Mytilus edulis: one gene and its partner. The protein of the gene in region 2 interacts with the protein of the main gene of each other region in a pairwise test. Links are inferred from orthologs where the notes say so. Each region holds a gene or a part of one and is shown on either strand. Other genes may lie near its edges.

Evidence for each region.
Region 1: the proteins of syntaxin-16-like (region 2) and alpha-soluble NSF attachment protein-like interact in a two-hybrid assay, tested with the Drosophila melanogaster proteins (2 studies listed by BioGRID). The link is inferred for Mytilus edulis from reciprocal best matches to the Drosophila melanogaster genes Syx16 and alphaSnap.

What each region holds. Positions count from the first base shown.
Region 1 is NC_092346.1:22,460,292-22,477,452, forward strand, and holds the start of alpha-soluble NSF attachment protein-like, read right to left. Parts: upstream 9,369-17,161; 5' UTR 9,264-9,368; coding exon 9,172-9,263; intron 3,785-9,171; coding exon 3,705-3,784; intron 1-3,704. UniProt on the Drosophila melanogaster protein: Required for vesicular transport between the endoplasmic reticulum and the Golgi apparatus. Also between the endosome and phagosome.
Region 2 is NC_092348.1:66,999,333-67,016,676, forward strand, and holds the start of syntaxin-16-like, read left to right. Parts: upstream 1-9,848; 5' UTR 9,849-9,972; coding exon 9,973-10,053; intron 10,054-11,689; coding exon 11,690-11,784; intron 11,785-12,838; coding exon 12,839-12,891; intron 12,892-13,626; coding exon 13,627-13,733; intron 13,734-14,430; coding exon 14,431-14,593; intron 14,594-16,083; coding exon 16,084-16,193; intron 16,194-17,344. Other genes in the region: vesicle-associated membrane protein-associated protein A-like, read left to right, coding at 242-310, 570-665, 2,891-3,070.

The DNA of each region.
Region 1 (17,161 bases), on a different chromosome or scaffold from region 2:
TCCCAGCAGGGCGCAACTTTATACGACCGCAGAGGTTGAACCCTGAACAGTTTGGGCAAGTATGGACACAACATTCAAGCTTGATACAGCTCTGAATTTGGATTGTGATCAATTTTTTAAAAATAATATGAGTTTCTGACACAAAACAAATGTCAAGATGATATACAAATCTTTTTGCGCAATATTGTGCAATTAAAAATTTCTTCCTCAAACTTTTCAAAAATTTGGGGAAAAAAATTGAAAGCTACTACCAAGTTACCAACTCCTTTTTTTTTGCAAATTAGTCTAAAACCGGACATTCCTTTATACATAATTTAAAAGGAGCGTAAAGGAGGTAAAAAAAAAACAACATTGTATGTTAAATGTTTTTGAGTTACCTCCCTTACACTGCTTTTTTGACCAGAAAAAAACAAGTTTTTCCCCTTTTTTGCCCCTAATTCCAAAACATTTTGAGCCATAACCCCCACCCCCAGTCAAAAATTTCCATCACTTCATGTTATGGAAACTTGTGGTATAATTTCAGAGAGATTCATACACTTAAACACAAATTATTGTTTGAAAACTACAAAAATTCTTATTTTTGGCCCCTTTTTTAGCCCCTTATTCCTAAACTATTAGAACCATAACTCCCAAAATCAATCGATCCCAACCTTCCTTTAGATGTATTGAACCTTTTGGTAAAAACTATTGTGCGGTTATGCAGTTGTAAACTTGAATTCTACTGGCTGCCTTGCCATCTGCTAAATAACCATGTTACACAACCCAGTCAAATTGTCCTAATAGAAGAAACCTCCTTACAAAACATGTGCCTGTAGCCAATCAGAAATCTTGTTGTAATATGTTGACCTTTAACCTATAACTATTGACTTGAAATCATGTGTGCTATAAAAAGAACAAAGTAAGGTACACGCTGTCTTGTGATAACCTTCGTGTATTTATGTGAAATTTCCACTGGTTGACATCTATACATGCATGACGCAATCAATGGCTTTATCAATGTAGAGAAATTCAAATAACATATATTTATTACACATCTCTGTATTGTATTATACAAACTTAACAGTAATAACAGATTTAAAAAAAATGTTTTTCGACCATTAAAAATATAAATAAGAAAAAAAATATAAGATGGAATGAAACAAAGTGGAATGCTCCCGATTACATTAAACCAAACGGTAAATAAAAATATGTTCAAAAACTATCAGAACTGTTCTTCTTCTAAAAATGAAGTCATTCTTTTCTATAAACAATAGTTACGGAACAGTTGTTGAAAACTTGTGGACAAAGTGTAGTACGATTTATGTTTACAGCAGTTTCAGTAAAATCGTTAAACAGCTCATTTAGATTAACACCTTGCAATGATTCATTAAATGACTGTGTGCTGTTTCCTTGTTGGGTTGTACTTTAATGTTTTGGCTTAAACGTATTGCATGGCAAAGGTCCATTAAATGGCAACGGCGGCGCTTTGTGTTCCTTAGCAGATGTATACAGTCTTTTGTCCAACGTTATAAGTAACAGAACTACGTTCTGTGCTCATAAGTGTGGTGCTGGCTGTTGTAATATTCGGTAGAGGAAGAAATGTAGAAAGAGCAATTGCTAAAGTTTTAGGAGGCACTGTACAACTTGAGCTTGGTAAAGCAAGAATATTTGATGATGTTTCACCAGCAGTTAAAGCTAATGCTTAGATTGTTCAGTGATGCTTTCTGTTAATGTCTGTCCCATACGTATCTTATCATCATTATCAACCCGCTGATACAAAGAAAGGGATGCTACTAACTTATGTCCAGTTACGGCCATGATCTGTGCATTGCAAATGTGTTTTTAGCTAGAACAGTAGCCCCGGTAACACGTATTGAATTGTTAGTGTAAATTTCAGACAAGTTGCACTTCTTGCTCAGGTATGACATGAAATTGCCAAGCGTTTTTTTCGCCCACAGGAACAGTCTGCGCCAAAAACTTTTTCATCTACTAGTACGGAAACTAAATATCAAAACTTGTCCCTATATGACTATATAAAATTTTGAAAATTTTCACTAGTCCGAATAAATATTTACTAGTCTGGGGCATCTGACTAGTGGCTAACGGTGCAGACTGCAGGAATGGTATAATACCATGAAAGGTCCTCTTCCCAAAACTGATCTTTTGGTCTCTGCCATAGTTTGTCACACTCTAGATTTAATTTATTTACATACTTTTCAAAGGAAGACACGGGGCAATACTCAGAACCGGAATTTTCTGGCATTATCCCTGAAGTTTTTTCTTTGTCACTGCTGCGATGGTTTTTTGTCAACTCATCTAAAGTTTTAGCAACATATTTAAGCCCCGTTTTCTGATTTTTTTTACAGAAAACGTGGATTTTGTCATTTGTGGCATATTTTCCATTCCCCTTTGACAAAAATCTGAACTTTATTTTGAAGTCCAAATGGAGTATTTGGTGATAAATATATTGAGGTATACATTTTTCTTCTGTCAGGTTCGTCAATACACGGATAATGATCGACGTCTCCTAATCCCATGCGTTTAAGTTCTGCCATTGCCACTTTAAAATTTTCTCTGGAAGTGCAATTTTTTTATTGTACGGTGGAGCCTTTAAATATCTATTCAATGAGTATCTCAAGCATTGCAGTGAATTTGTTTTATAACGATTTCCATCTGCTTTACGGACATCCATATAAAAATGATCCAACACTTCATCTAGTTTTAAGGTGTCAAACTGTTCAAATCCAGGATCCATTTTCTTTACTTTTAAATACTCCCTGAAAATAGTGGCTGCTGCTATATTCTGCTTTATTGTTTTGTCAGCACTCATTTTCACACTTTTTTGTTCAATTTCTTCATCACTAGTATCAACAAATCGTCTTTTACCAGACTCCATCTTTAGTTGGCATAAAAACACATGAACTATGCACTACATGGAAAATCAATAGATCATCAGGTTACACAATACACATTAAGAGTGAGGTCAGTGGGCGGAGTTAACATGCTACTATTGCGTAGTGAAATCTAGGACACTTGTGTATTAAACGTTTCATTAATTATATACCTAATACGGTTAGCATAACCGCACAAAAATGTTATCATGCTTTGACCCAACTAGCATGATTATTTAGACGGAGATTTGGTAGAAATCCAGGATAGTTTAAGAAAGTTATTAAAATTTAAGTTTAGAGTGAATATTTCAAACATTATTTTTGAATTGCCTCCCTTACACTGCTTTAAAATTATGAAGTGTACTTAAGCAATTGTCCATTAACAAGGAAACCCTTGTTTTTTCCCGTTTTTTGCCCCGAATTGCTAACAGGTTGGGCCATAACCCCCAAAGCTAATTCTTACTATCTCTTTGAGGTAATGGAAACTTGTGGTATAATTTCAGAGCGATCATTAGACATTACACCTTTTCAAAAGTAATTGTCTGGAAACTAGAAAAATGCTTATTTTGGCCCCTTATTCCTAAACTGTTGGGATCATAACCCCCAAAATCAAACCCAACCTCCCTTTTGTGGTCATAAACCTGGTGTTTAAATTTCATAGATTTTTATTTACTTACACTTACAATGCAAGTTATTGTCCGGAAACCAAATGTCTTTGGACGACAATGATGTGAAACCAATATACGACCACAAAATGTTTTCCTGTCTGTATAAGAACTGTTATAGCTCAAAGTAAGGTCTTCAAAATGTGTTTTATATGTGTATTTTACTTACCTGCCCACTTTTTACTCATTTTAAATGAATTTGCTGCTCTCACATAAAGCTCACAAGCTTCTTCTGTTTTGCTAGATGAGCTAGATAAAAGAAACATAAGGTATCCTTGGTTAATCACAGACTTGGGGTAATTGTAATTGTAATCGTTAATCAGCTGTAATTGATTACAATTTTTCAAGTAATCAGTGTAATCATTAATCAGCCAAAAATCTGATTACATGTAATTTAATTTAATCAATTACTTTTCAAAATACCCTGTAATCATGATTACTTTTTGATTACATTCTGATTACAATGAAAAAAATCTAAAATTGTGTTTTTGGTCATTAAATGAACCTCTTTGTTATTCATATTTGATAAATTTTAAACATGATAAAAATGGTTTGGTTACTTTAAACATGTCTACTTCAGTAAAAAAATAAACTGTTACAGTATTGAAAAGTCACCATTAGCTTTAGCAGAGACATATAATACAATTATTTACCTTCAATCTTGGTAAGAGATATTGTACATACAGGTTTATTCATTGTTTTATAATGATCTTCATATTAATATTTGATAATAACTGTTATATATTCAAGTAATACTTTACTTTAACCCTGAATTATAATCTTTTGTTAATTTTTGTCAACTTTGAATTGACAGGTAGGAGACTAATTAAGGTTTGTTTTTATTACAATTACCAATTGAGTATAGCTGTAGGGAAATATATATGATAAAAGATAAATCCGGCGTTTTGCATTTGCGCCGATCTGCATTTCATTTGCGCCGATTTTTTCTTTCATTTGCGCCGATTTTTGTTTTCATTTGCCCCGATTTTTTTACAGGTAAATTACAGGTTAATTACAGGTGAATAGATATAAGAAGATGTGGTATGAGTGCAAATGAGACAACTCTCCATCCAAGTCATGTTTTTTTTATATTTATCATTATAGACCTCTTCCGTCATCCAGTTGTACACTATATTTACATACTTTAAAATCAAGAAGTAAAAACCTTAGATAAAAACACTCTGGTTTATACTAAAATGACTTTTTAAAATCTATTTACAGCATTCAAATCCATAAAAACGGAAGACATTAAAATCATAAATCTGTTCTTGCTGAGTATTTATAGGCAACATATCTAATATGTTCCTTTCATGTGATTTCGTCTCTTCTATATTTGTTGTAATTGTCAATAACGTAATCCATCTTTTCTTTGTCTTGCTAACGTACTTATGTGTGTGGCCGTCGATGGTTAAAAAAATTGACTCCTCGGCTTGTTGCAGTGTGCAATATGTCCATCAATTACAGCAAAGTTCAGAACAATATGAATCAAAATTAACTAAAACCTATGTTTATAAACAGATTTTACCAATATACCTGCACGGTACATGTTCAAGTATTAACTTACCTGTAAATCCAATTAGGAGCAAATATAAAATCGGCGCAAATGAAAAAATGAAATCGGCGCAAATGAAAGAATGAAAATTTTAAAAATCGGCGCAAATGTCATACTCCTGATAAATCAGACAGGAAAATTTATCTAATTAGCACAAACTAAATTAAAAGTTGGACAAATATGTTGTTTAAATTTTTTTGTATTTGGCCTGGCCATGTAAAATGTAATCATTTTTAGCATGTTTAGTACTAACATAGTGCATGTAGTGTTTACAATTTAATTAAACATTTCTATTAAAATTTAACATAGTTTTAACTGGTAACTTTATTTAATCCATATTTAAACTTCCATAAACTGCAACATGGAATACATATAAATTATGAAAGAGGTCAGAAGACAAACAAAAAAACTATTGATTATGATATATCTTTATTAAATTTAATTCAAAATAATTCAGAGATCATTGGTGATAAAGTGTAATGTATATATATGTAGTGAAATTTGGTGTTTATTTAAATAGATGAAGTTTAATTTGAAGTTATCATTTTATAATTGAACCAAAATGAAATACTTCCTCAAAAATGCTATAGTTATATTGAACGTTTATACATTCACATCATTCAAAATGTTTTGTTTTTAAATTCATTGTAATCAGATGTAATCATGATTACTTTGCTAATGTAATCATTAATTTAATCAGATACTTTCAGAAATGATGTAATCATTAATTTAATTTAATCATACAAATGACGAAGTAATTGTAATTTAATCAATTACATTGAAAGTAATCGGACCCAATTCTAGTTAATCATGTTAATTAGTTTATCTTGTTCTTGGTAATGCAGTAAAATCTAATTTTTATACTGACAGGATTGATTATTAATTGCTGCTTACGTGTCAGCAACAAAGGAGCTAGATGAGGGCTAGTTTTGGCCTAAAATTCAAAGTACATCTGATGAAAGAATTTTAACATTGTTTAAACACTAAAGTGTCTACTTCAGTCGATTGATTAGTCTTTTTAAAAGATTTGAACTAATTTGATCATTAGAGACCTTTAAATTCATGTTTAGAACTTCTATCAAATATGCCATACAACATCACTTTTCAGATGCTTTTTGACTAAATAGTAAGTGGCTGTATTATCACCAAATACAACCTACCAGGTTATTTAAATATCAAGACTGAGCAGTCAAATGCGGCCATTTCCATTCTAGACAAAAACTTTCTTAATATTAGCACAAATGCTAAAATTGTGAAAATTTCAGTAATTTTCCATGCCTTTATGATGCTAGTTAGTACATGTACCTGATGCCAAAAGAGGTCTTACTAGCCATAATACTCATAAAAAATATTAGGACAGAGGTTAATGTGATATGAATAAAAATTGAATATGAACATTCTTGTAGTAAAAAGAAAGGCATATACATTGTACATGTATAAAAAGAGTGGGATATTGATACCATAACTATTACTAATGCTAAAGTCACTGATAGATTCAAATTTTTTAATTGAAAGTGTGACTGTACCATCAGAAACATATAACATACAGCTTGGTGTTTAACATGTGAATTCATGTATTTTAAGTTCAAAAGGCCAAATAAAGTACGAAGTTGAAGACCATTGAGGACCAAAATTCCTAAAAGTTGTACCAAATACAGCTAAGGTAATCCATTCCTGAGGTAGAAAAGCCTTATTTTTTCAAAAATTCAAAATTTGTAAACAGTTGATTTACATGATTTATAAATATGACTATATATATCAATGATAATTTATGTCAGCACAGAAGTGCTGACTACTGGCTGACCCTTGGGGAATTAAAATTCCACCAGCAATGGCATTGACCCAGTGCCCGGCCGTGGTTGTAAACAAATTCATCATAGATACCAGGATTAAATTTTGTATATATGTTAGACATGTGTTTCGTCTACAAAAGACTTGTCAGGGACACTAGAATCCAAAAAAGTTACATTGTAAAAGGGCCAAATAAAGTAAAAGTGACGCCACCAAATCTGATCTTGTTCTGAGTTTTGAGGTAATTAGTATTGTGTTTAAGGCTCATAACATTTGGTTGAGGGAAACTAAAGTGATGGAACTGTAACGAAAAACTTCAGATAAGGACACAGATATGTTTATATAACAATATTCAGCCTTTTTATTTCTGTAAGTGTTAATGACTTGACCCTGTAGGGTGTTTATTGACATGTAGCAATATGATTGCATAGAAATTCAATTTTACAGTTCACTTAAACACTGCCATAAATGCATTTTTTTTAAAAGTTTGGATTATTGAATGAATCAATACAATATGTACATGGAAATTAACAAGGTAAAAAATGTATCTAAAATGTTAAAATTTGTATTCTGTCTACATCTGACATGCTACGTACATGTATACATAGAAATAGTGGAGAAAAGAATGAAATTGAATTTTGAATCTTCTAGAAATAACTCTCAATGATTCATCTGTATAAAATGTATATATTAATCTATAATACTATGGAACTTCAACATGTCTTTACTACTTTGTGTTGAAATACGCTTTAAAAATCATATTGTCCAGTATTACCCGTTTCTGGGAGTTTTGCCCAGCTGGGAAAACCCAGGAATTCCCACCTGGGTTTTCATGGGCGGGTTATACTTTTCCAACCCTGATCACAATACTCAGAAAAAGCCTGTTCCAGTTTTAAATTGTTCATGGAAAAAAAGATTTGGCCTTATTTTTGTTCTGCAGGATGGAATTAGGTTTTAGAGTGTGTGCATGTTTCAGGATTAACTGAGGGGATGAATTAGTAGGTCCGTTTTTGTGATTGCAATGGGATTTTATAAAACATGACCAGACGTGCTTCTGTTCTAATGATGTGCTAAAAACTGCAACCCTGTGTTGAACATGGCTGTCAGCCTGTATGTGGCTTTCTACAGGGTGACAAACAGACAAAATGTACTCTCTTTTTAAAATTTGGTGCGTTTTTTTTAATATTCAAAATTATAAGCCCAAAAGTGTTTTAGAATGATCACCAGGCCTTCAGCTTTCATTTGATGCCCAAAATACCTAAATATCCTACATATTTTAAGTTACACTCATGAGTAGGAATTCGAACTACATTGTATTTTGTGTTAAATATATGTACTACTTTCTGGTATGTGCTTTCTGACGGGGCCTGAATTAGTGGTGTTATACCTATAGTGGGTCTCATTGGGGTCTAAGCATGACACAGGATTTCCGATTTTTTTGTAAGTGGGACACGTGAAAGTCAAATTATTGTGTCGTGAAAACAGGAAATGAGGTCTAGCGGGATACAGGAATCTGACAAAACAGTAAGCGGGATCCGGGATCAACCCCCCAATGAGATTTGGTACGAGTTTGTAGTGGTATAAGTACATGTATCTACCAAGGGGGTCTCAATAAGGGGTTCCGATCCCGGATCCCGCTTACTGTTTTGTCAGATTTCCGTATTCTGCTTACACTATGTACATAAGCAGTTCTCATTTTTTTGTCATTTCCCGGGTCCCGCAAGACCTCATTTCCCGTTTTCACCACATAATAATTTGACTTTCATGTGTCATGCTTACAAAAAATCGAAAAATCCTGTGTCATGCTTATACCCTAATATGACCCACTACCAAGATACGAGTACAAGTTGTTACAAATTTTATAAAATTGAGAATGAAAATAGGAATGTGTAAGGCCCCTCATGGGGGGGTCCTAGTAATCACATAATCACCATTTTTTTGCCAATATAATCACATAATCATTAAATATTTGCTTATCTTTAGTAATCAAATAATCATAAACTAAAAATACAGTCCTAGGTAATCAAATAATCATGAAATATTTGGCTTAATAATCAAATAATCATTAAAAAAACGGCCAAGTAATCACATAATCAAAAACCCCATGAGGGCCCTCATGTGTCAAAGAGACAACAGTCCGACCATAGAGCAGACAAGTACACTATATGCCTTGTAGCAACTGTCTACTAATAACGAAACAGTTCTTTTCTTATCTCTTGAATACAAATAACACTTTTTCGGGATAAAAAATTATCATAATTTAAGCTCCCATTATGAATTACACGCCATTTACCCAAACAATGATCCCAAAAATCCTTGAGCAGACTTCTCTTTCTTCTCGGCCTCACCAACTAACTGACGAGCTTTTTGCTCATTATCTGCCATGATTTTATTTATATTATTTACGTGTATTGGTTAGTGAGTCACACCACTATTTACGTTTTGCATCACAAATTCTCTTGTTCAACAAAACGCTTCATAATGGAAAGGTTTACGACAAATCGTACCTTTGCAAACTCGGTCCTAAATTAAACTGACTCGTACCAAGGATTTGTATAGTCTTACAATACAAATCCTTGCTCAGAAGAGGCTCTTACCCATTGCCATTATCTTTAAGAATTTTTATCATGATTGTGTTTCGTGTGTTTATCATGATTGTGTTTCGATTGTGTTTATTATGTTAAAATTGAACATTAATTGTTACATCTAGTGATCATTCAAGATATTCCGGCAAAATTGATCAATACAGAGACATGTATTTATATGTCTCTGATCAATACTGTAAAAATGTCAAATATTAAATAATATTGAAAATTGTATGCAATTTTGTAAAATTCAAATACAAGTTTTCAAATTTTATTTTATTACATATTTCAAGTGTGGACACAAATCAATGTGGAAAGTATGTTTGGATGTTTGAGATCAGGGGTGGGGTACCAACTATCCTTTCGGGTATAACTGTGCCGACAGCACTTGCCAAATCATACCCTGTTCTAACCAGAAAACATAAAACATACCCTGTTCTAAACAGAATTATTGAAAAACATACCCTGTTCTAGACCGTATAGAATAGATGCTGTTCTAAACAGTTGAATAAGCTATACTGTACTAGAAAAATACTTTGTTTAAACAAAGACCCGGTTTTCACCAGCAGGGCATGAAAAAGCGACCCTGTTCTAACCAGCAGGACGTGAAAAAGAAAAATATAGGAAGTACTACCCCCCCCCCCCCCCCCCGGGGGGGGGGGGGGGGGTAGTTTTTTCTGACATAAAGATTTCTCTGGTTTTCTCCTATAGTGTTCTATGTTAAACTGAGGTGCACTTTACATGTGGTGCACAGTGACAGAAAAACTGTATTAAACACTAAAATAGCAGTGTCGTTTATTTCTGCTCAAGACTGCCATGGAGGAGACACTAATTTAAATCAGTACCAACCGTTCATAGATTTAATAGTGTTTTCTTACATTAAGTGATCTCTGGTTTCCTCCTATAGTGTTCTACGTTTAACTGTGGTGCACAGTGACAGCAATAGTGTACCAAACACTAAAATAGCAGTGTCTTTCATTCAATGTTCAAGACTGTCATGGAGTAGACACTAATTTAAAGCAGTGCCAACCATTCATAGATTTTATTTAGTTAGACCGTGATTTTGATATCAAATCTACATATTCGCCAACATGCTTTGAGTGCTTTGTGAATATTGATGTACGTTCCTGTCATTTAACTTTGTGCATGTGCAACGTTGCATTCAATGCAGGATGTTACCTTTTAACATTTTAACTTTGAAAAAACTTCTTTTCTAATTAATTTCAATCCTATATAGCTGAGTGTGCTCATCCCTGGAAAGATTTACTTGAAGAAGCAGAAGGTTGCAAATATTTCCGAATGATTCCGCTAAAATGTGTTCCACAATTTTTGATTTTGGATAAAAGCAAAAACTCAAATAAGAGGATAATCACATAAGGTGCCTTTCTGCATAATGTGATTCTAATATGCGAGATGTTATCAAGGACTTGCAAGCATGTAGTATTTGCATAGTTCCATTTATGTTCCTTTGAGATGCTAATTTTTAATTTGGGTTGGCCCACTTAAAATTGTTTAGTTGTTAATGATCTTCATGGTATCGTTAGTAAAAGATTTTCGCAATTGTTTTTATAAAGTCTAAGTATTAACAATAATATACGAATTATGTCAGATACCAATACATATGCCCCAAACTCCTACAAACTGATAAAAAAAGTCTTTTAGATATGATCAGGACTACTTCAACAATTCATTTTGCTGACAGTTGTGACCATCTTACAGCAGATCATGTGCAATTGCGAGTTGTGTGTCAAATTTTAATTTCACAAATAATGCATTTGCAAATAGCAATTTAATAAAACACTTATACGAAAAGCTTAATCCAGTGATATATTTTGTTATAGAGGCCTCAGTATCATGAACATTTACCAATCATAACCACCTATATAACGTTAGATCTGTAAATTTGCTTTCGCAAATATTTGGTTCTTCCCTCGCAGGGCCGTAACTAGCCTCTTTTAATAGTGAGGCAAAATTTTGGGTGAGTGGTCAGCGGCCCCAGAAGCTCTGAGAAAAATAACGCAAAATCGTGCATTCTGAGCGTTTCCCAGACTCTTTCTTGCATTAAAACGGCTTAATTAATTTTTAGATATTTTTTTCGACAATCAGGTCCCAAAGCAAAAACAAAGATTCGTTGTAATTTAAGACTTTTAGGTATTAGAGACAACATTAAAAGACCGATATGTAGGATAAAGCAAAAATCGTAATTCTCATAATTATCAATACCGTATCTGTCTGTCTGTTCTTGTCTTGTATTGTGATTAGACTTTGGTGATTTTTTCAGTATGACTAGATTTAAATATAGTGACATTGCAGTATTATACGTTAAGTACTAGTACTGCTTAAGTCCAAAATAGGGACCATCTTCACCTTGTTTTACGATCTTTTACGGTATTAATGATTCTTCAAAAGTATTGTTGAAGACCATCCGGCAACTATCAAGATGAAGAGCAGGAACACAAACTTTGACCATTGATCATTTGTCACTATTTTTTCTATGCATTGACTTTGTGTGCGATTATATCCCCATACTCCTTTATTATCTGTTAAAGGGTCTCAACACGACTTAATGCAAGTTTAACCTTTCAACTTGATGTAAAAGGTCATATATGGCAATACCTTGTTTTTTTTCCTTCAAAATATTTGATACCGGGAAATATGTGTCCTTACTTTAATTCAAACCATGTCAGCTATCTAGTTTTATTTACAATAAAACAAACTGTATTCTTTGATATCAATTTCAATTATCCATGCAGAAAGGACAATTTTGTTTGTGTCCACTGAGTAGCATCGTATGTTCTTAAAATATATTTCTCGCACAATTCTGGACATCGGTGGACATGCAACATTGCAAAACCACGTTTACAAATGAATATCAACGCTCAGACTATAGTCATAAAGTAGGACAATAAATGAACAAAAGACAAACCCGGAACACAGAAGTACAAACAATAAACCATCAACTCCGAAAACTAAAAGGAAAATAGAAACATGGATAACGAAAAAAAAATCCAGGGTATACACCAGAGAGTGAAGAGAAATTGTTTCTTGCGAGAAACTTTCCGTGAAAACAATTTAATATGAAAACAACCTTTTGTTTAATTTTTTTTTTTGAAATTTTTTACATGAGGCATTTGCCTCATTTGCCTCAATGTAGTTACGGCCCTGCCTCGCCGGGATTCGAACCCATGCTACTGTGATATCGTGACACCAAATCGCCTACACTGCAGCCGTCCCGCTAGACCACACGACCACCTGGGCTCTACAATAATAGAGCTTTCGCTGGCCGTGTGTTACCTTTCCTCGTCAGTTTTAATCTAGCGGCGTACTACAGTACATGAGATATAAGGCATGAAGATGTTATTGTTACAGATCAGCTAAATTATCAACGGACGAGTACCGCATAAAAAGGACACCTAACGGAAGCGTACCGGATAAAACGGATGAACAAGATCTACGGAAAAATCAAAGGCGACAATAATAATACATGTAAATCGCATAAATATTCAAAATGTTTCTGTGTAACTGGTTTTGGTTTGTTCTTCAAAATTCCGTCAAAGGGCAGTGTCTGGCCTGAATAAGAACTGCTTGATTGTTAAGACGTGCCTATACTCTATAATCGATTATGAATTCACGAACCTTAAGAAATCTGACATACCAATAATTGGCATTTCTCACGCTAAATTTTCAATTGGCATTTATCCATTTCAAATCCGTTCATCATCCGTTTTATCCGTTATACGTCCGGTAGAAGTTCGTTTCTCATCCGTTCAACATCCGTTTTATCCGTTAAACGTCTGGTAGAAGTCCGTTGGTGAATGTATCTTCCACACCTCCAACGGATGTATAACGGACACGTAACGAATACAAAACGGAAACGAAACGGACGAGTACCGTACAAAACGGACGCCCAACGGACGTTCAACGGACATTTTATCCTCATGAACATTTATTGAACATGCTCAAAATTTTCCACCGGACAGAACGGACGTCGACGGATAAAACGTACGCTTAACGGACATGCAACGGATATGGACGGACATCTAACGGATAAGAACGGACATGAACGGATTGAAAAAAAGTTATCCGTTAGGCGTCCGTTCGAGCTATCCGGCAAGGTGTGACCGAGGCTTTAACGTTAGGGTGCAATCTACAGTTTTGTTCTATGACGTCATACTTTGTTTCAGGGTACGATCTCCTGCTTTGAAAAGAGCTACAGTGGCTGCCGAATGGAAAAACTTAATGGTCAAACGTTTCTATTATATTGTAAGATGCCCGGATGTGCAATGGCGTAGCTGCTTGAAAACTGCTCCGCAAAAGAAGTGTGTATCTAACCTGTTATGATCGGAATTCTTCCGGAAAAAAAAGGTACAATATATTCATTTGAATTTGAAGAAGCTTTTGGCGAGAAATATTTATCTTAAACTGTGCCAATTTAATAATTTTATTTTGAAACGATATTGCTGTTCAAAATGATTTGAAGCGTTTCCAACGAGTAACGTCATAATAACAACCCTGATTATTCCGTAACGTTTTCCTATTGTGTGTGTTACGTTCTACAATTGTTTAAGAAAATGGCGTCCAGCAACAAAAACAATAAAAGTCAAACATGAAAAAAATTCAAAGCACAGATAATAACAAAACTGTTCAACATCAAAATATATCAAGAGACTACACTTTAAATAAATCAAAGGCCTTGATCAAGAAACTAGATGCAACAAGATCAGAACATTTAAGTTTTAAATTGACCGGTGGTGGCCTTAGGCTGTTTTTTAGCACGTCTAGTTTTGAAGTGTTTAAACGTGCATGCACATACTATTATGAACATCTGAATACAAATGGAGGAGATAACAGAGAAATCGCATTTATTCCAATCAGCGATAAGAATAATAAAAATGCCGTTGAAGAACAAATTAAAGTTTCCGAAAAAGGTTTTGATTCGTTGGGAAGATCTATCAAGCGTAAATCTTATTGTATTAATATATATTTCACAACATCTTCTGTACTTATTAATGGAAAAGGACTGAACATATTTTGTGAAACAGATCTTCCGGTCATTGTAGTAAAAATGAAGGAATGTCAAATAAACGGGAAAGATATAAATTTAAATGAGCTAAACAAAATTTTCGAAGAGGTGATTTTTAATGGAGAAACAAGGAAAAGAAGATTGCAATAACAACTCTGTTATAGATGTAAATAAAACAGAACATTTAAACCCCGGTACCATTCAAATATCAAATCCTAATAACAACACAATAAAATCAATAAAAGAGGATGTATCGTCAAATACAAATCGGGAACAGTCAACTTCGTCAGTAGCTATACCTATAATAGATATTCCAGATGATATACAAGCACAAGTGAAAGATATAAATCTGACTAATTCAGAGGATGAAAGTACATGTTTAGATGGAAATGGTAACACATTACCACAGTTGAATATTCGAGACTTTGTTACAACACTAGACAAACTAACTACTGTTGTTACAAATTTGAAAGACAAAGTTGACGAATTGGAAATATCTATACAAGCAAATAATTTGTCAAATGCGAGTAGCATTCAAATTTTAAATGACCGAATGACAGCTTTAACAAAGGTGCGCATGCAACATGACCAACAATCAATGAATAAGATGCAAGACATTGAAGCAGAAATTCAAAATGTTAATAAAAATTTGGAAAAAAAAGTTAACATGTTACAAGGAAAAACACAAAGCATCAGTGATAAAATAAAACTGTATGAAGTGGAAACAATTAAATTACAAAAAAGCTTTATGCCGGAGGAAAATCTCGGTAACCAATGTACCCCAATGTTAGATGAAGATCAAACAATTCCAAAAACAATATGTGAAACAATATTACAAGAACATTCACATGAAATAGAACAGTCAATAAATGCTGATATAAATGAAGAACCACAAAATCCTGTTTATGATACCCAACCAAAACTGCCATTATCAGGAAGTAGGGTTTTAATTGCCGGAAGTTCAGTCCTAAAAGGAATTGACCCATCTAAATTAAAAGATTATATAGATGTCCATGTTCACAGAGGAGCAAATGTACTAGATTTATACGAAGACATAAGAAATATGGATCTGAGTACATACAATACAATTATAATTCATGTAGGTGGCAATGATGCAAGTAGCAAAATGAATGTACAACAATTTGTGGACATTTTTCAAGAAATCATTAACTTTGTAAGATGTCAAAACTGTCGAGCAATTGTATCTGGAATATTACCAAGGATACAATGTGATGTCACTGAGTATAACACAATCCTAAAACAAATGTGCCATTATAATGATGTCAAATTCATATCAAATTATGAATCTTTTGTCTACAAAGATGATCATATAGCTAAATCATTTTACACCACAGATGGCATTCATCTAAATAGATATGGAACAATAAAGTTGTTGGCAAATGTTAATAAAGTAATTAAAGTATTCAAGGGAAAACAAATACAGCATCATTTGAACCAACAAAACATAAATAGATATCAAAGTTCCAGTCACCAATATTACGCAAACAACTTCAGAAGGAGCCCTACAAAACAAAGATATCAACCTAGGAGCAACATGATTACAACAGACAGAAGAAATTTCAACCATTCAGGAATCAACCCCAGAAACGTAAAGGACAGGAATGATCTCAATATGAACTCTCGTGACTCGTGGGAAAACAATAATGAGCTAAATAGACAAAATGTAGACAGAGCACCATTTTTTAACTATCATTCACCAAACTCTGTACGTAAGTCAGATTATGTTCATAGGTAGCATTTAGCTTGTTCTAGTTTTTCAAACAGATATAATATTTTAAATCTGTTATGTGATAAATGTAGTAGTATACAATGTTCATGTAATATAAAAAACATTAATAATATAAACAACAGTAATAATAATAATTGGAGAAAATCTCAAAAGAGACATAGAAAGAGTCAAAATAAAACACCTAGTTCTGTAAATAAAAGTAGAAATAATGAAGCAAGTTGGTTGTTTAAAAAAGGGTTTAAACTAGGTTGTTTAAATATTCAACATTTACAACCAAAAATTGAAGAAATAAAATTTCTATTAAAATATGAACAATTATTTGATATATTTGGTATGGTAGAAACATTTTTAAATGATGAAATTGGTACCGAAACATTACAAATTGAAGGTTACAAAATAGAAAGAAAAGATAGAAAAGCTATTAATTATGGCGGAGGTGTGATTGCGTACATACGAAATAGTGTATGTCATCAGAGAAGAATCGATTTAGAAATAAGTAGTATTGAATCTTTATGGATTGAAATTAAATTTCCAAACACAAACTCTATTTTAATAGGCATTTTTTATCGTCCACCGAGTTCATTTCAATCTTGGATTGATTCAGCGGAAAAAGAAATAGATAAAGCGTCTGCAGAAAATAAAGAAATTATACTCTTAGGAGATTTTAATATAAACTTTTCACATATAAATCATACAGTTGTCGGAAATCAAAAATGGAAGGACTGTATTAATTTGTATGGTTTACAACAAATTGTACATAAACCGACACGAGTAACAGATAAATGTGCAACTACCATAGACCATATATATACGACCGATGTAGACCATATTATAGAAGTAAAGGTGCCTAGTTATGCTGTCAGTGATCATTATCCTGTTTGCGTAACAAGAAAACTTAACCCCAAAATAACAAAAATGGAGCATT
Region 2 (17,344 bases):
ACTTTATTGCAATACAGTTATCAATCTTCAGGTAATTACCTTAATAGGCTTTTTTAATTAATCATTCATGAAGAAGAGATCTTTCCTAACCTGATTAATTTTACAAATCAATAAAGAATTACATGAATATTTATTACCTTAGTGATATAAATAGATCTCAGAATTCCATAGAGATCTTATTATAGCTTTCTGCTAATAGAAAAAAAGTTATAGTTTTTTAAACTTTATGTATTTGTTGTAGACGAGGGAAGAAACAGAAAAGATAAAACCAGTGAAACAAGTACAGTTAGAAACCTCACAAACAATAAAGGTATCAATTTGTATAATTTATTCCTCATATTGAATATTTATATATACAGTTGTTGAGTTATCTCCCCTTATTAGATCATGATTGAAAAAAATGATTTTTAGCAAGGGCCTGCTTAAAACGTTGAGGACTTATTTCATTATTGTTATAGAGGGGTTAACGATAGATAATAAATTTATGATATTTACTAATTTTTTTTGTTTATTAAAGATATGTTAAAAATTAAACAAGTAATAGACTAAAGTTATCCTTTGTTTTTTAGTCAAGTCCTGAATCAGAGGGAAGAAAAGGGGAATCAGATAAACAAAGATTACAAGCTGAAATAGAAAAACTGCAGGATGAAAATAAATCATTAAAGGTATTTATAGAGTGATTATTGAAATGTAGTATTGTAATGAAAACCTAGTGGCCTAGCCCTAGTCTAATTGTAATGCTAACAGAATCTTTTCCCGAAACCATTGCCAAAAGAAAGTTCAGAATCATCATATTCATATCAAGTAACTTTTTTCTGTGGTAGTATGGATTTGTGTACACAATGTTAACATCTGCAGTCATTAAACTATTGTTTAACTTCCATAGGAGTTAATAGATATGCCAATTTTACTAGACACTTAAAAGCTTGCCCTTTTTACATGTATTTGTTCTGTCTGAAATGCTGTTCAAGGAAACCTCATACTCCCTAAACCAAAAACAGAATTATTCAAAAAATCTTTTATGTATTCTGGACCATACTTGTGGAATAATTTGCCAATACGGTTAAGAAATATTACAAATATTAATTCTTTCAAATACAAAATAGCAGATCATTTATTGAAATCAACCTAACTGTATAAATAATATAAAAAACTGATCATGTCATCATGTTTATTTTTTCATCACATTTTATCAAGTTGTATTGAACATTATTATCACACTTGACTTTTTATGCTAATGTATGTATGCAATGTACTAGTATATGTTTGTGTTTTGTTTGATTTTTCATTACGAGGGCCTCAGGGAAGATTAGTTATATAGCTAACTGTGTAACCCTCTTAAAATAAAGTATTGTTGTTGTTGTTGTTGTTGTTGTTCTGTGGGCATATTTCACTTTTCATTTGCACCCTGTACATTTCTACTTGGATTTTAGGAGGAAAATGAGATGCTAATGCAACTGTAAGTTGTTTTAAAATTGACCAGCATCACTGGTCTTAAATCTGTGAAACTACTTTTGGAGGTGCCTCTTAAGCTTGTAGTTAGTTTAAAAAACTTTCTCTATCAGTCCATTTGTGTATTGCTGCAAAAAATCAGGGTTTAAGCTAAGATTTTGAGGGCTTAATTAAATTAATTTTTGCATGATAAGAAAATTCAATCTTTCTTGGGTAGGAGCTTACATTAGCATGAAAGGACTAAGGCAGTTATAGCATTGGCTTCAAATCATGTTAAATTTGTACTTGCATTTGTTTACATATGAAAATATAACAATAAAAATAAATATGCTTGAGAAAAGTTACATAGTTACAATTCAATATTTTAAACAGCTACTTGAACTATTGTTTAAAAATGTCAACATTGAATTTAATGGGCAAGGTAAAATAAAGTATACTCGCACACACACACAAGACAATTTAACTTTGCACCATATCACATTAGACTTGTATGTTATAAAGTCAGAAGGATGTAGACAGATCTTGAAATATTAATTTAGAACTAGGGAAAATTACGATTGAGTTATCTTTCTTTGAACAAAATTATCGTTTCAGGTGTTCTTTTAAAATACCTTCACAGGCTTTTTATGCCCCCACCATAATGTGTCAGACGACTAAGCACAGTATCACAAAACAGATTTATTTTGAATATTGGTGGCATCACTTTCACCATTCAAGATCTAGAAAAATAGCTGAATTTTTGGTTTCCTTTCTTTTACTTAAGTTTGCCTCAACTTAAGGGGGTTCGCGGGTCCAAATTATTAACAAAAATTACCTAGCTTTAACAGGGCAATATTCCAATGTTTGAACTTTTATTATACCCCCGCTTTAAAAAAGGGGGTATACTGTTTTACCTCTGTCTGTCCTTCCGTCTGTCCCATGAATATTTTTCGTCGCATTTTTCTCAGGAACTACAATACAAGGATTTCTGAAATTTGGTTTCAGGGTTTATCTAAGTCAGCTATACCGTGTGATGCGTTTTCAGATTGATCACTCGACAACTTACTGTTTACCGAACACTTGTATGATTTTACACATGATAGCCAAGTTGAAAATTTTCGTCACATTTTTCTCAGGAACTACAATACAAGGATTTCTGAAATTTGGTTTCAGGATTTATATAAGTCAGCTATACCGTGTGATGCCTTTTCAGATTCATCACTCGACAACTTCCTGTTTACCGAACACTTGCATAGTTTTACACTATTAATATTATCCACTTGCAGCGGGGGTATCATCAGTGAGCAGTAGCTCGCAGTTTCACTTGTTTTCACATGATCTAGCTGGACAGGGAATTCATTTTGTTCCATTAAGTATCCCAAAAAACTGGATTTGACCCTTTGATCACCTTTCAGCAAAAACTTATGCAAATTCATAAAATTACATTTTTCTTTTTCAGGACAGTGAAGCAAGATTAAGAAAGACAGCCCTTAAAGAAACAGTGTCATCAACACCATCATACACACCTACACCAGAAACTAAACAGGATTTAATGAGTCAGATAACAGCGTTCCCTAATATAGCTATTATTATTGCTGCACTAATTATAGGAGTTATTCTTGGAAAAATGCTGTTATAACTATAACTGAACATGTGAATGCAACAAAGTGACTATATAAGACTGGAATTTAATAACTTTTAAAAAAATAGACATTTTAATTTGTAACTGTCACTGTTTAAATTTAAGATAAGTAATTTGGTGTAATAGTGAGTTTGATTCGAACAAGACCATATTAGGAAGCTTATTCATTACTATAGCGGTCGGTTAAGGACTTATTTAGCTTCAAAGTACCTCGTCTATAAAAAGGTTGGAATTTTTGTCCTAATTTTTTGCTTCTTAGTTATTTATACATTTTTAGCTCACCTTACCCAAAGAGCCAATTAAGCTTTTCTCATCACTTGGAGTCTGTCATCGTTGTCCAACTTCTCCTCTGAAACTACTGGGCCAAATTTAGCCAAACTTCATAAGGGTATCGTTCTGAAATGTGACCAATGACTTTGCATGCTAATCAATATGGCTAAAAATAGACCTAGGTGAGCGACACAGGCTCTTTAAAGTTTTATTAATATATTTGAATTATTAATTGTCCTTTTTTGTGAATAACACATATTTTTTTAATTCAAAATTTGGTTCAGTTTTCCAACAAAATTGAAAGATAGGTAAATGTGATATACAAGATGTTGACATATAGCACTTCATATTTATAAAGCAAGCACTTTTAAGGAATATGTCGTGAGTGATATTGAAATGATAAATGATAGTAGGGATTCTGTAATCACCTTGTGAAATAAGATTTTGTTGTTGTTAAGATACTGGATATAGCTAATGACAGCAACTAATTAGAATATTTAAAACTCATATAGAAGATGAGCAATATTAAAATATTAAAATGATAAATTCTTGTCAATTAAATTGAAATTGCTGAGGCACTTGTTCTACATTATGTGCTTAACATCCAAAAAAAATGTTATCTGCATGCAAAAAAAGAGACTAATACAAGCAGTTTATTGTATTTATTATATTTCTAACATTAAACAATAAATGAATGCTTAAATCATTCTTAATATCAGAAGTAATGCATGTTATAATTCATTATTGAATGATATAATTTCATACTTGTATGTACTTTCATCAAATTGATAGAATACTATATTGTGTATTAGATGTGTTCATACTTGTGTATTATATGAAAGGTGTATTATCATTTAACACATATGTTTTGGGAGTTTTGTTATTAAAAGAAGTATTGATAAAGCATATATAGTTCCTGGAATAGTTTTATACATATTCTATCGAAAAATTCTATAAAGGTGCTAGCTTTGAATTACATAATATTTTAATTCAGATCAAATCTGGTTTTGCACAAAACCCATAAAATTTTCTGAAATTCTCTGAAATGTCTATAGGAACTATACGACTATATTTGAAAGAAAACTTAATGATGATCATATGCACATGTGCATTTTTAGGCCTTTGTACAAATGTTGTATATTTCATTTTTTAGACCAAAATTTAAGTTGATGCACTGTTTTGTTTTCCATGGTCTTATTTTGTTTTGTTTTAGTTTTTTTTATGAAAATGTTTACTTTTTCCATTGTTATTCTTTTTGTTTGTTTAGACTGTTAATTTAATTAACTTCTTTTCTTAAGTTTTGCCTTATTTAAACTAGATTCTATGAAGTCTAGTTGAAGGTTCATAATTTCTTTTTGTTTTATTTAAGAAAGACACCAAATGAAAAGAAAACAAATTTATACTTTCACACCCTTAAAGTACGGAACAATAAAATGTTGTACAATTATGCGATACATTTCTGCTTTCTGACATTTAAAACTTGAAATCATAAACAGTGGTTGTGATAATGATGCCAAAATATAGGGATTTTCAGATGTAAGAAAGTAATATAAAGTCCCCTTGTACATATGTCTCATCACAACCATATCACAGCTTTTGATATTGTATTGAAAAGAAGAAATTTGGAGAGAAGTTTTGTAACGTATTGGTTGATACTTAATATGCAAGTTTTTCTTTCTTAAATATACTAGAACATGTGTCAGTTTGATGTATAATATTTATAATTTATTAGATAAGATGTTATTAAATACAATATCTTCTATTTTCATGATTTTCCTGTTACCCAATGCATAACTGTCTTATGAAATTGAATAATGTTTTCTCTTGGTTGGAATTATTACATGTGTAAATTAAAGCTTTTTCTTTCGAATACTTTTACAAGCTTTCTAGGTTACCAGTGATGTAAGTTCATCATATAACACTTATTATATAACTTTATAAATTTTCATAACTATAATTTATTAGAAAGACTTTCTGATCTATAAACTTAACATAATAATTTTCTAGGTTGATATTTGTTGACTTTTTTTTTTATAATACTGACTTTTGACTCCAATTGATATTTTTTGACAGGCTATACCTACTCTACTCTGTGGTAGGTCGTCCTGGTACCAAGTCCAGTAAATGCAACTTAAAGAAGTACATGTATAATCAAGCTTTCAATCTATACAAATGTTTGGGTGAATTGCTTTATATTTTCTTTGCACAACAAACACAACTGAAAACAGTAAACTTTTCCCTCAATTTCACCCATTATATGTTTAATTTTACTTTATTGGTGGCCCTTACTTGACCAAGTACCAGGAGGTCTTACCACAGAAATAGTTACCGGGGTACCTATTGAAAAATTATAAAGTCTGAGTTAAAAGTTGGTAATATGAAAATAGTCTATTGAAAGTGGGAAAAAAATATTTAACAGTAACTGTGCATTGACAACTCCTGACTTGAATTATTAAATGAGTGATGTATATATTTTATAGATGTTCTTTTATACAATGAAAATTACATTGAAGGCACCTTACTCTAGTTCTTAGTTGATTTATTCTTTCTCAAACCTTTGTAAACATAATCAACATCTGGTTTTGTCTTAACTTGTGCTTCTTCATTGGTTAAAATTCTCTTATCTCCCTGCTTTTGCGCAAGTCACTCAATCCAGATATATTTTGGGTTATGAATAAGTGATCATTTTGATTTTCAGTGTTTCTAATGGCCATGGTCTTGTCTGTCCTTTGTCTTATGTTTAATTTCAAATTTTCTTGTTAAGATTGTTTTGTGTTTTAAATTTAGTAGTTTCTTTAGGTTAGACGTCAACCAATCTTCTTTTATCACCAACTTCATTGTATTACTAGCAGAATTTAACAAGAGTAACACAAGATTGCCACTTGTGGAACAAGAGTAGCATCCTCTTTGATTCATGTTTTTGATTATTTTTCTCTGACCTTTTTGACACTGGTACAATTTTTATATGTGACAACTGTGGAGAGAATAGAAATATCTAATGAAGACTTACATTAATAACATTTAGTTGGAAGGTATGGATTCTTTCCATTATGTTTTTCACAAATTTCTATTTAAGAAGTTTTGATAAATTTGTTTCTTACATTACAACTTTGCCATCTGGTTAATTAAAAACAAAATCACTGAAAACATAAAAAAAAAAAAACCTGATCCCCATTACTAAGAGAAATATAAATGCACAAATTTTTCGAAACAGCTTTTAACTTTTTTACAAAAACAAGTGAATGAAGTGAACAGGTATAAGTTATTAGACAAAGGTTTACAAGACAAAAAATGATATAAATAATTTATTAGACTTAAGGTGGTACCTAACACTTTAACTAAAATTAATTTGGCTCGTTTAATTTTCTTAAAATTTTGACAAAGTATTTACTTTGACCCTTTGACAAAAATATAAAAATTTCAAAAAATTTGAACCAACCGTTTAATCAGAAAAATTACACTGGTTATATAACAGTTTGACAAACACTTATTTTGATCATTGAGAAGCTTAATATTCCCTTATGAACACAACGTCATTAAAACGTTCTGCTGATTTTACAGAGTTATCTCCCTGTAGTGTTAGGTACCACCTTAATATAGGGAAAGGAACAAATGAACAAAAGGATATATATTTGCTGAATGACATCTACCTGTTGATTAAAAAAGATTGATATTTTATACTAGTTTATATGTAGTTTTCATTTTTCACATCATATTTCAATATTAGTATTGGATAGTCTTGGACTCTGGGTTCAACCTAGTATAATTCTTTGTTTCCTCATTTTTAAGTGCTATGTCCTGGAACTGACAGGCGCAAACTTCAAAATAACAAAGCCAAGCTGGGTTATAAAATGACCAGTACTTTAAGCAAGGGTGGAATGGGATATTTAAAAATAATTTATTATGGCTTGTTAAAATTTAACTGACCAATTATTCCAGTCATATGTGTGTGCAATTTAATCTGCAATTGAGAATACTTCAATGGTTTTCGGTGTAAAATCATGTAATTTATTTATGTGCTAAGCCACTGCTAACTACCTGCTTTGAATGTAATACAAGTAATCAGTTGTATATTCAGTATGTAACATTATAGATGTAAACATTTCTAACTGATGTTACACAACCATCATTTCTACTGCTTCAACCATTTGTTACTTTCATGGGACATCATTGAAGAATAGAATGGAGTAAGTCCTGAAATGAAAGTGTACAAGTCATTTAGTTTGTTAAAATAAACTTTTATGATGATAGTGATTTTATATTTATTGCCTTAAACACTGACACATAAGAGGAAAAAGTCATGATTTTTGTTTTAAAAAACAAACAAATATTGTATTGGATTCATAAATCATACTTTGTTTCAACTGTTAGGTTTGATCGATATTGAAAATAATGCACTTCTAATATACCCCAATGGCATTCATGAAAACAAAAGAACACATTACATAACACATTACAAAAATGATTTCAAAGAAAGCCTTAGTTTATTTTCTGAAATAAAATAATCTACTGGGCAACATTACTGTCACATCTAAATAAAAAGAATGGTGTCACTACTGGTTTGAAAGAAATATTTTGATTATTCACATCTACAAAAAAATGTGTAAAATTGCTACTTTTTGTAGAGATAAATCTGTATGAAATTTCACATCCGACACCTAGAAATTCTGAAGTCAGAACAACTTAATAGTTCTCCCGTTAACAGCCATGAATGTTTATTCTCAGTCAACATGAACAGCTGGTGGTGAAAAAAATTGAATAAAGTTCCTCAGATATTCCAGAGGATAGAATTACCATATGAACCACCTTAATATATCTAACAGTTCAACTCAACAACAACTTGGGTCAAATTATGATTAAAGTGTATTTTAGCAACATTTCCTGGATATTTCTTTGTTATATTATTTCAAAAATGAGATAAATGTGTAAACATTATTATAAAACAACATAGAAAATTTATTAAAAGCAAAGTTGCTTCAAGTCCCTTGATTTAAAAATCAAGATTGAGAATGGAAATTTGGAATGTGGCAAAAGAAGCAACAACCTGTCCAAATAGTCAAAAAACGGGCCAAGGTCAGATCTTAAAAGTTTCATAATTAGTAGGGAAAGTAAAATCACAAAAAATGAACTCCAAAGAAAATTCAAAACAGAAAGTCCCTAATCAAATGGGAAAATCAAATGCTCAAACACATCAAACAAATAGACAACAACTGTCATATTCCTGACTTGGTACATGCATTTTCTTTAGTAGAAAATTGTGGATTAAATTTGGTTTTATAGCTGGCTAAACCTCACTATTGTAGACAGAAGTTTGTTTCATTGAAATAAGTAAAATTGTATAGTTCAAGCTTTAAACCTTACTTTTTTTTCCACAATGAAATAAAACTTAATATATTTTCCTTGGTGTGTGCATCTCCTTTTATATAGTCATCATCAAAATAGGATGTGTTAAATAACCAATGAAAAAAAACCAATCCATTAAAAAAGTAAGATTAAAGAGTGAATGAATAACTACATACCTTCAGGTGATTGTATAGCCTTCAATTATAAATGAAAGGTAAGTGATTAAATATGGTACAGTTTATGCAGCTGTGTGTGAATCATTACCATGCAGTATATATATAATTCAAAGGGAACAACCACTTAACTTCAAGTGAGGAGGGGGGGGGGGTAATTTTTTTTGCCTTTAGTTTGATTTTTCTTTCTTGGAAAGTGCAAACCTTTTTTTTTTTAGTTTTTCAATGCTGTCAATTTTTTTCAAAATTTAACATGCACTATGGCATTGGAAAAATCAGCATTCAAAATTATTTGTTTTTTTACAAATTGAGGATCAGAATACACAAAATATGACTACCTGAGCACATGCAATTAATATTTAAGGATGTCTGCTGGTCATGTTTTTGAATTCTTGTCATATTTTCGATTTTCTCAGGTTTTATCCATCCAAATGTATTAAAAAAAATTTTACACGACACCCCCCTTTTGTCTTCATAAATCTGTTCAATAGATCATTTCAGATTTAGTGATCCGGCGGCATGAAATCCTTGTTATTTTTTCTTGGTTTAAAGGGTAAAAAACAATTCCAATGTTAACAAATAGTAAAGTCTGAAGAAAACCCTTTTCCCGCCATTTTCTAAATGTCTCGTATTTTGAAAACTACACACGATACTAATGATTTTATTACTTTATTTTGTTTAAATATCAAAGTTGTTTTCATTTTAAGCAACCACATGAAATCCTTGTTATTTTAAATTAGAGCAGCAGACATCCTTAAATGCACAATTATATTTATTGCAACATTGATGTGGTGTTCCTGCATAGGAGGGATATACAATTACAATAGAAACTATTTTTATTTTTTTCTAAATACTCTTATTGATACATTAAATAATTATTATAATATAATAGATACACTTTTACATGATCTTGCATATATTTAGAATTGAATTCGATAAACAAGTCGACCAATACGTGTTACGGAGCACCGGAGTAAACCATGTGAGAAACAAACAAGACTTTTATTTACTGCGGATGATGGATTTGATGAAAACAGTTTCCTGAAAATTTGACAGTAGCCGGCTTTCTTGAAGATATTCTGTAGGAGAAAAACACAAAGAGAAAACATTAAAATGGCAACACGAAGTTTAACAGAGGTTTTCATTTTGATGAGAAACAATGCTTTACAAAGTCGTCATATGTTTTCTGAACATGTAAGAAATCAATAGAATTAAGAAAACAAACTATAATACTTTTAATTTTCGTTTCATCATCATGTACATGTATGTCTGTTTTCTTCAACAAAAACTTTCATTATATTCAAACTTAAAAGATCTGCATTGCAATGTATGTTATAAGACATAAGAAGATGTGAAAGAGGTGCGAAAAATACCATAAACTCATACTCAAATTCAAACTCATAGTCATAGATTGAAAATAAACTGACTCAACTACAAATGTATTGCAATGGCACATCAAAAGATGTAACTGAGTGGGGAAATACAAAGATGGATAGGTGCCCACAGTCCCACTCTCCCCCGTTTCTGTTTGCCTTGGGTCTGTCCATTATCCTGGTTTGATTGTTTGCCATTATGCCGGCATTATTTACATTTTGAGAGCAAAAAAAGAGGAGCTGGTTTAATAATGTAAATATTGAAGTAATTACATTAAACTATGAGTTTTCAATCTGTCTGTACATCAGTGTATTTTGCCCTTATCAAAACACAACTTATTACAATAACCATACGAAAAGCCTAAATATATTGTTTATCTTTTGAAATTGAAACAGTATCCAAAAGTAAAAAGCGACACACACAGAGGCATATCTTTCAAGACCAACAAACACTTAGGCCAAATAAAAATATATGTGTGGTTCCAGTAACCCGACCGACCCTAGAACTTTTTTTTTCATTTCTGAAAAATAAATTTTCAAACGATCAAATTTTGAGGATTGTGAATTAAAATAATTAAATTCAGATTTCTGTCATAAGTATCTGTTATGGCTAAAATGCAAGAATTCATAACTAAATGCAACAAAATTAACTAAAAACATATCATGACTGTTTTAGTTTACAACCAAACACATGTAAAAATGGTGGACTTCCGGTTGGGACGTATATAATACCCTATTTTTTAAAAGTATGTAACTGGAACCATACATATATTTTTATTTGGCCTTACATGTACAGTGGAATCCCCGGTGTCCGCCAACCGGTGATACCGTGCATTAGCTGATTTCGTCATATTACCACAGCAACACAAATAAAATTGTTCTTGTTATTGTTTTAGTATTCCGAAGGTATAAAAAGAATAAAATTGATAAGTTCAAGAGTTAAAATATTACTGCAATCCCATGATTTACAATATTTGGCCAATTCCCATTAAGAAAAATTACATCTGACATCAGATAAAATGTGTTTTATTTAAGACAAATCTATATCAGATTGAAATAATTTTTGCTCTGCATGCTTGGCAGTGTGTTTGGTTCAAATTCAGGCATATTTCGTAGCAGAAAATCTTTCCTTTATTCAAAATAATCTTTGTTTGGAAGGCATGCGCAAAATCACTGGATATTGGAGGAACTGACTGACTGCACCATACTGAACAGCCTTGCAATTAGTTACTTAAAATTCATCACCACACAAATAAAAACTGTTGCCTATTGTTTTTGTTTTTTTTATTATTATTATAACCTCTCTGAAATTCTTTATTGGGTCTTGATCATGATGGCAACATAAAAATGGGATAAGAACAGCCATGCAAACCTACAAAATAAAAAATAAAAACTTGTTAATTAAAAATCACAATGATTAATGTGCATGTTCTGACATCCAAAACATTTAATTTTAGGTTAATGATGACCGGATGGCACTTGTTTCAAATGCAGCTTCTGATATGGAAATGGGCAGTATTAATACAAAATCATCAAGACTGCCTCCAGAATGGTAAGTACGACTAACGATATATTTTTTTTTCTTGTGACACACAGAAAAAATTAGGGTCTATAGTTTATTTTTAGATATTTTTTTCATGTATACATCTTAATAGGTGTAATACCACCAACCAAATCATGGTACATTACATCCGGTTGTAGACCAAAATTTGGTCGAAAAAAATATTCCCTTGAATAATTTACTTTCAGGGGAGATAATTCAAACTTTAAAAACAAAAATTCAAAGATTATATTGACTTATACAAGGTTATGCTTCTTACATCTTAAAGCAAATAAAAATGACTTGTACAAGTATTATCCCTGACTGTTTAGTAAACACTAAATGTACCTCAAAAGTATAAGATCAAGACAAACTGCAGGAACAAAGTGTTTTACTTTCAATAACCAAATGGTTTGTTAATTGGTACATTTTTAAGCTTTAATGCATATTCCAGGCAGTTGTATTAATTAGACTTTTTCAAATATAGTAAGCAGGTAAAGAACACATGATACTTTCATCACAAACACCATAGCCCTTAAACATTATAAAATAGTCCATATTGTTACAAAAAATAAAAATAGAGGCAATAAACAAATAAATATAAAATACTTTTTATTCCACTTCCTATTTCAAGTAACAAAAACCAAAAATAACAATGAACAATTTTTTTTTTAATTTTAATTTTGGAATCCTACATAGACATGATATGTTGACAGAGTTGTGACAAGATGGCCTTGAAGCAGACAAAAACTTGATGTTTATCATTAGTGCACAATTAGTAATATCAAGCAAAGAAATCAACAGATACTGAAAACTGTCATGAAAATGTACACTTTCTGTAGACAATAAAAAAAATTGACTGATTTTGATAAATCATGTTTATTTTTTTTCCAAAAATAATGGTAATGATAATTATTTGAGACCTCTGTTTCTGAAGCATCACAGTAAAAGTTTAACCAATTTGACACTAGTAGTAGCCGAAAATGACCATTTCCACCTGACAGTAAAAGGCATTCATACCCTCTTACATAGCATAATAAATACATTTTACAAATTATTTTGACAGGGTAGATGGAGTAGAAGAGGTACAATATGAAATGACAAAAATCAAAACTAAAAGTAAGTATACAGATTTTTTCAGATTTCAATTTACATATGTAGATGTAATTATTGCAACCATTGAAAATGCAAATGTACCCATTTCTCATTAGTTAACTTTTTGGGTAAAGATTGCATGAAATGCTATCAAAACCCTATGGTACTGACTTGATATCTAAATCTTCAAAGTTTTATCACTACCTTTGAGATCCACACAATATGGTGCATTGATCATAACATTCTTAACATCCTATCCGTGAACATTACCAGAAATGTATCAATAAAATATATACTCAGATATTCAGTTAAAAAATTATGTTATACTTGTCAAAATTAGATAACTTTTGCAAGGTACATGAATCTAATTAATATCTATTCTATAAATATCAATGATGTCATCTTTAAGAATAAGAGTTATCTTCCTTTGTTTAATGGTTTATAAAATGCAATTAAATTATTGAATTTTACTTTCCACTTATAAATTGTAGCAATCTTCACCATTCAGTGCTTACAAACACTTAGGTTTCACAGTTTGGATAATATGATAGAGATTTCCAAATAATATATCCCAAATTTTGGTTGGTCAGGCCAAAATAGCTATTTTAATAAATTTTATAATAATTTTAGAAATTTACAGTATGCAGAATCATTGTTAGCTGGAAGGAATTGTTAACTTGAACTTAATGTTATTGACTGGTTTTGTCGGGTTAAACAATTGGACCTTTAACATAAAACTGCATATTTTTGATTTTTTAGTGAAGGAACTTGCAACACTCCATGACAGACATTTAAACAGACCAACGTTAGATGATAATGTGCAGGAGGAACATGCTATAGAAATAATGACACAAGATATTACACAGGTTTGTTTTCATGTTAAGGGAGATGATTTGAGATATAACCCAAACAGACAGCAACCCAATGACACAAAAAAAACCAAGAAGACATGAAGTAGTCTATAAATATACTTCAAGAATAGACCATTGTAAAGCTCTATATGCCTATCGCATACTCAATTGTGTTTGTAAATTTAACAGAAACCATTAAAAACTACTGTCCACACTGAAGTCTCTGAATGACAAAAATTAGAATACAACTAAGGAGCACCACTGACAATGTTCCTGACATAGGGAGGCACATATACTTGTTTCAGATGTTTAATCTCAATCATTTGAATATCAAAAGGTATATAGAAAAATCAGGACATAGAAAACATTTGATGAATTATATTGCTGAAGTAGATAGTCAAAACACAATTGTATGCAAAACAATAATAAACTCTGCCCTAGCAAAGAGTACACAATTCAATCATCCAAATAGCACAATTTTATTAGTAACATTCAAAATATTTCATACTGTGAATTCACTTATTTTTCATTGGTAGTAATTTTCTTTGATTAGGAATATTTGATTCCATGATTTTGCTAAAGTCTGCATACAGGGAAATATATTTAATGTTGTTCAGTTGAATTCATTGTTTATCTTTACCATAGAAATCCATGAAAATTTATATCGAACGAATAATTTTGAATCAAGAGTAAACAATTAGTTTTCTTGCAGATGTTTACCAGATGTCAAATAACAGTTCAGAGAATAAGTCACAAAGGAAACCATGGGACAGAGCAGGAAAAAAGACTAGCCAAAAATATAGTATCATCTGTGGCCAGATCACTACAAGATATGTCATTAAATTTTAGAAAAACACAATCAGATTACCTCAGAAGTAAGTTGTTTCATCTTTTGATAGGGTAGACTAGAAATTCTTTGATACTGACACTGATGACCAAGGATTGTTCCATTAAAACATACATGATACCCAGTGAAGGCACTTTTAAAAAGGAAACCACCTATAGAGTCAACTTACAATTTCACTTGCATATCCGCTATACAAAAAGATAGATGACACCCTACCATTGTTCAGATTTGGAAGTGCCTTCCCTGGGTTCCATGTATATTTTTATGGAACATCCCTAAAATAGTCAAGAACACAATTGTATAAATAGTAATATGACAAAGTCATGTAAACTTGTCCTATAACTTTGATTTTATTGTTACATAAAAACATTTTCACTGAAACCTTTAAGTTTTTCTTCGCTTCTAAAAGTCGGAGCTTCTTGTTGACTGATACAGATCTTCATCTGGTTATTTCATACAGTATTACACATTTACAGTTCCTTACTTGTAACTTAATTAATGAGTCAGTTTTAGTCAAACCAAGAAACTGTACATTTGTAATAGAATAAACTCAGTAAATTTGGCATCTTAAGGTGGCTCGGGCATATATGAAGTTTCTATCAGAAGTGCCGTATTTGTGTTTATTTTATTCTTTACAGAAAGTGAAACAAAGTGGTAGAAAAAAAATATGGGGTCACTGACCATTTAAGCTCAAAATTTTACTTTTAAACAGGTGTGTAAAAGGGATCGTTTTTCAATGAAATGGTAGGGAATATAGAGGTGTTGACATATTTTTATCGGAATATCAAAAAATTTCTATGACACTTGGTCCAAAACTCTTATATAAAAAGCTGAAATATAGCTTCAAACAGTGAGCAAATAAAAACATAAGTCATCAATAAAAAAAAAATATTTTGCTTTAAAATCCAAATTTAGGCGGGAAAATGGTGAAATTGGGTGAAATGTCATTTTGAGCCTTTCACAGATACACATAATAATGATAATATTTTTTGAAGGACATAACTACAATGAGTTAATATTTCTAATCAATCAAAATATTTTAGAAAATATTATCGAATTTACGACACATACTTTTCGTGTGTATTGAAATTCTTGCATGAAATTATGTGCCGTCAAATAGTCCGGATCCACCGTACCTTAAACATTGGAATATGAAAACCTAACCTGTGCACAATTGAAATATTCAATACTAGTAATGTTCTAATCAGACAAGCATTGCTTTTATTGCTGTTTTTCATTTTGACTTTTGTCTTTTTGATAAAAGGTAGAAAAATCAATCTATTAGCTAAATCAAGATAAAATGTGGAATATGGATTCATTATTAATCACATATAATTTCAATGTTTGAAGATTTTTTAAATCATGAATTTAAATATAAATGGATATCAATGAATGAAAGTATTTACATCAACTGCAGACAGCTCTGAGTGTCACAAGTAAGAAATAGTTCTAATTGGACAAAACTGTATTTTTCTATATTTATTCAAAAGTGAACAATTTCTTCATTTTTCATTTCAGAAATAAAAAGTAGAGAAGAAAGATCTAGAGAATTTTTTGATACAAATATAGGTCCAAGCTCAGGGTCATTTATGGAGGAAATAGAACCTTTTGAAGATGTATTTGACAAGGTAATGGAGAGAAGCTATCTTTGTTCATCATTTAGAGTTGTGTTTGATGATTTCTATAGATGCAAAATAACAAAGGCGTAATAAAAATCTTATTTTATAAATAAATAACTTCATCAAAAACTACCTTGACCAAAAACTTTAACCTGAACTTTGCACTATCATTTTCTATGTTCAGTGGACCATGAAATTGGGGTCAAAACTATAATTTGGCATTAAAATTAGAAAGATCATATCATGGGGAACATGTGTATTAAGTTTCAAGTTGATTGGACTTCAGCTTCATCAAAAACTAACTCAACCAAAAACTTTAACCGGACGGACGAACGGAGGCACAGACCAGAAAACATAATGCCCCTCTACTATCGTAGGTGGGGCATAAAAAGAATTAGTTTATGAAATGATACGGTTTTCTTGCTTTATAAGCTTGCCAATGAATCACTTCATGTATAACCTGCGGCATTTAATACTTAAATCTTCCTTTTTATAGATAGAAGTCCAAGAGGCTTTTGTCGGTAGGAGCTTGTAATGTTTGCTGACTTCCCTTTATGCACTTTGAATAATATTGTTTAAAAAATGGCTAATGATGTCTATATTACTGGTCACACTACTTATTCAATCAATCAGAATTTACAACACATGCAAATATAGTTTCATTTGAACTAAGAAGTACAATATACATTTACGGCATGTACAAAAGATGAATATTAAAAATTTTAAAAACAATCTTAAATACTTATAGCTCCAGTAAAATGCTCATTACATTATGTCCAGGTTAAACATTTCATTCACACTTACAGAACAGTTTCACTAGCGAAAGAAATCATACACATGATGGTCCGAGACCACAATTGTCGTCCCTTGATTTTCGTTGTTCACGAATATAGTCCCTAGTGTTGACAGTGGGTTACTTGCCATTAATTTTTATACCCCTTCCAAATTTATTTCTCCATGTTTAATGCCTCAAATTGCAAGTAGGGGGGTGAAATTACACTGTAAAACAATTTGGGTCCAGAATTTTAAAGGAAAGTAGTGATTAGGTCCAGCTGAAAAAGGTTGAAAATTAGCACATCGGAAGCTGTCAAAAGATTTCAAGATGCCCTAAACATAAAATTGTCCATATTTTGAGTTAGAGCCGATGAAGTTTTCTATAA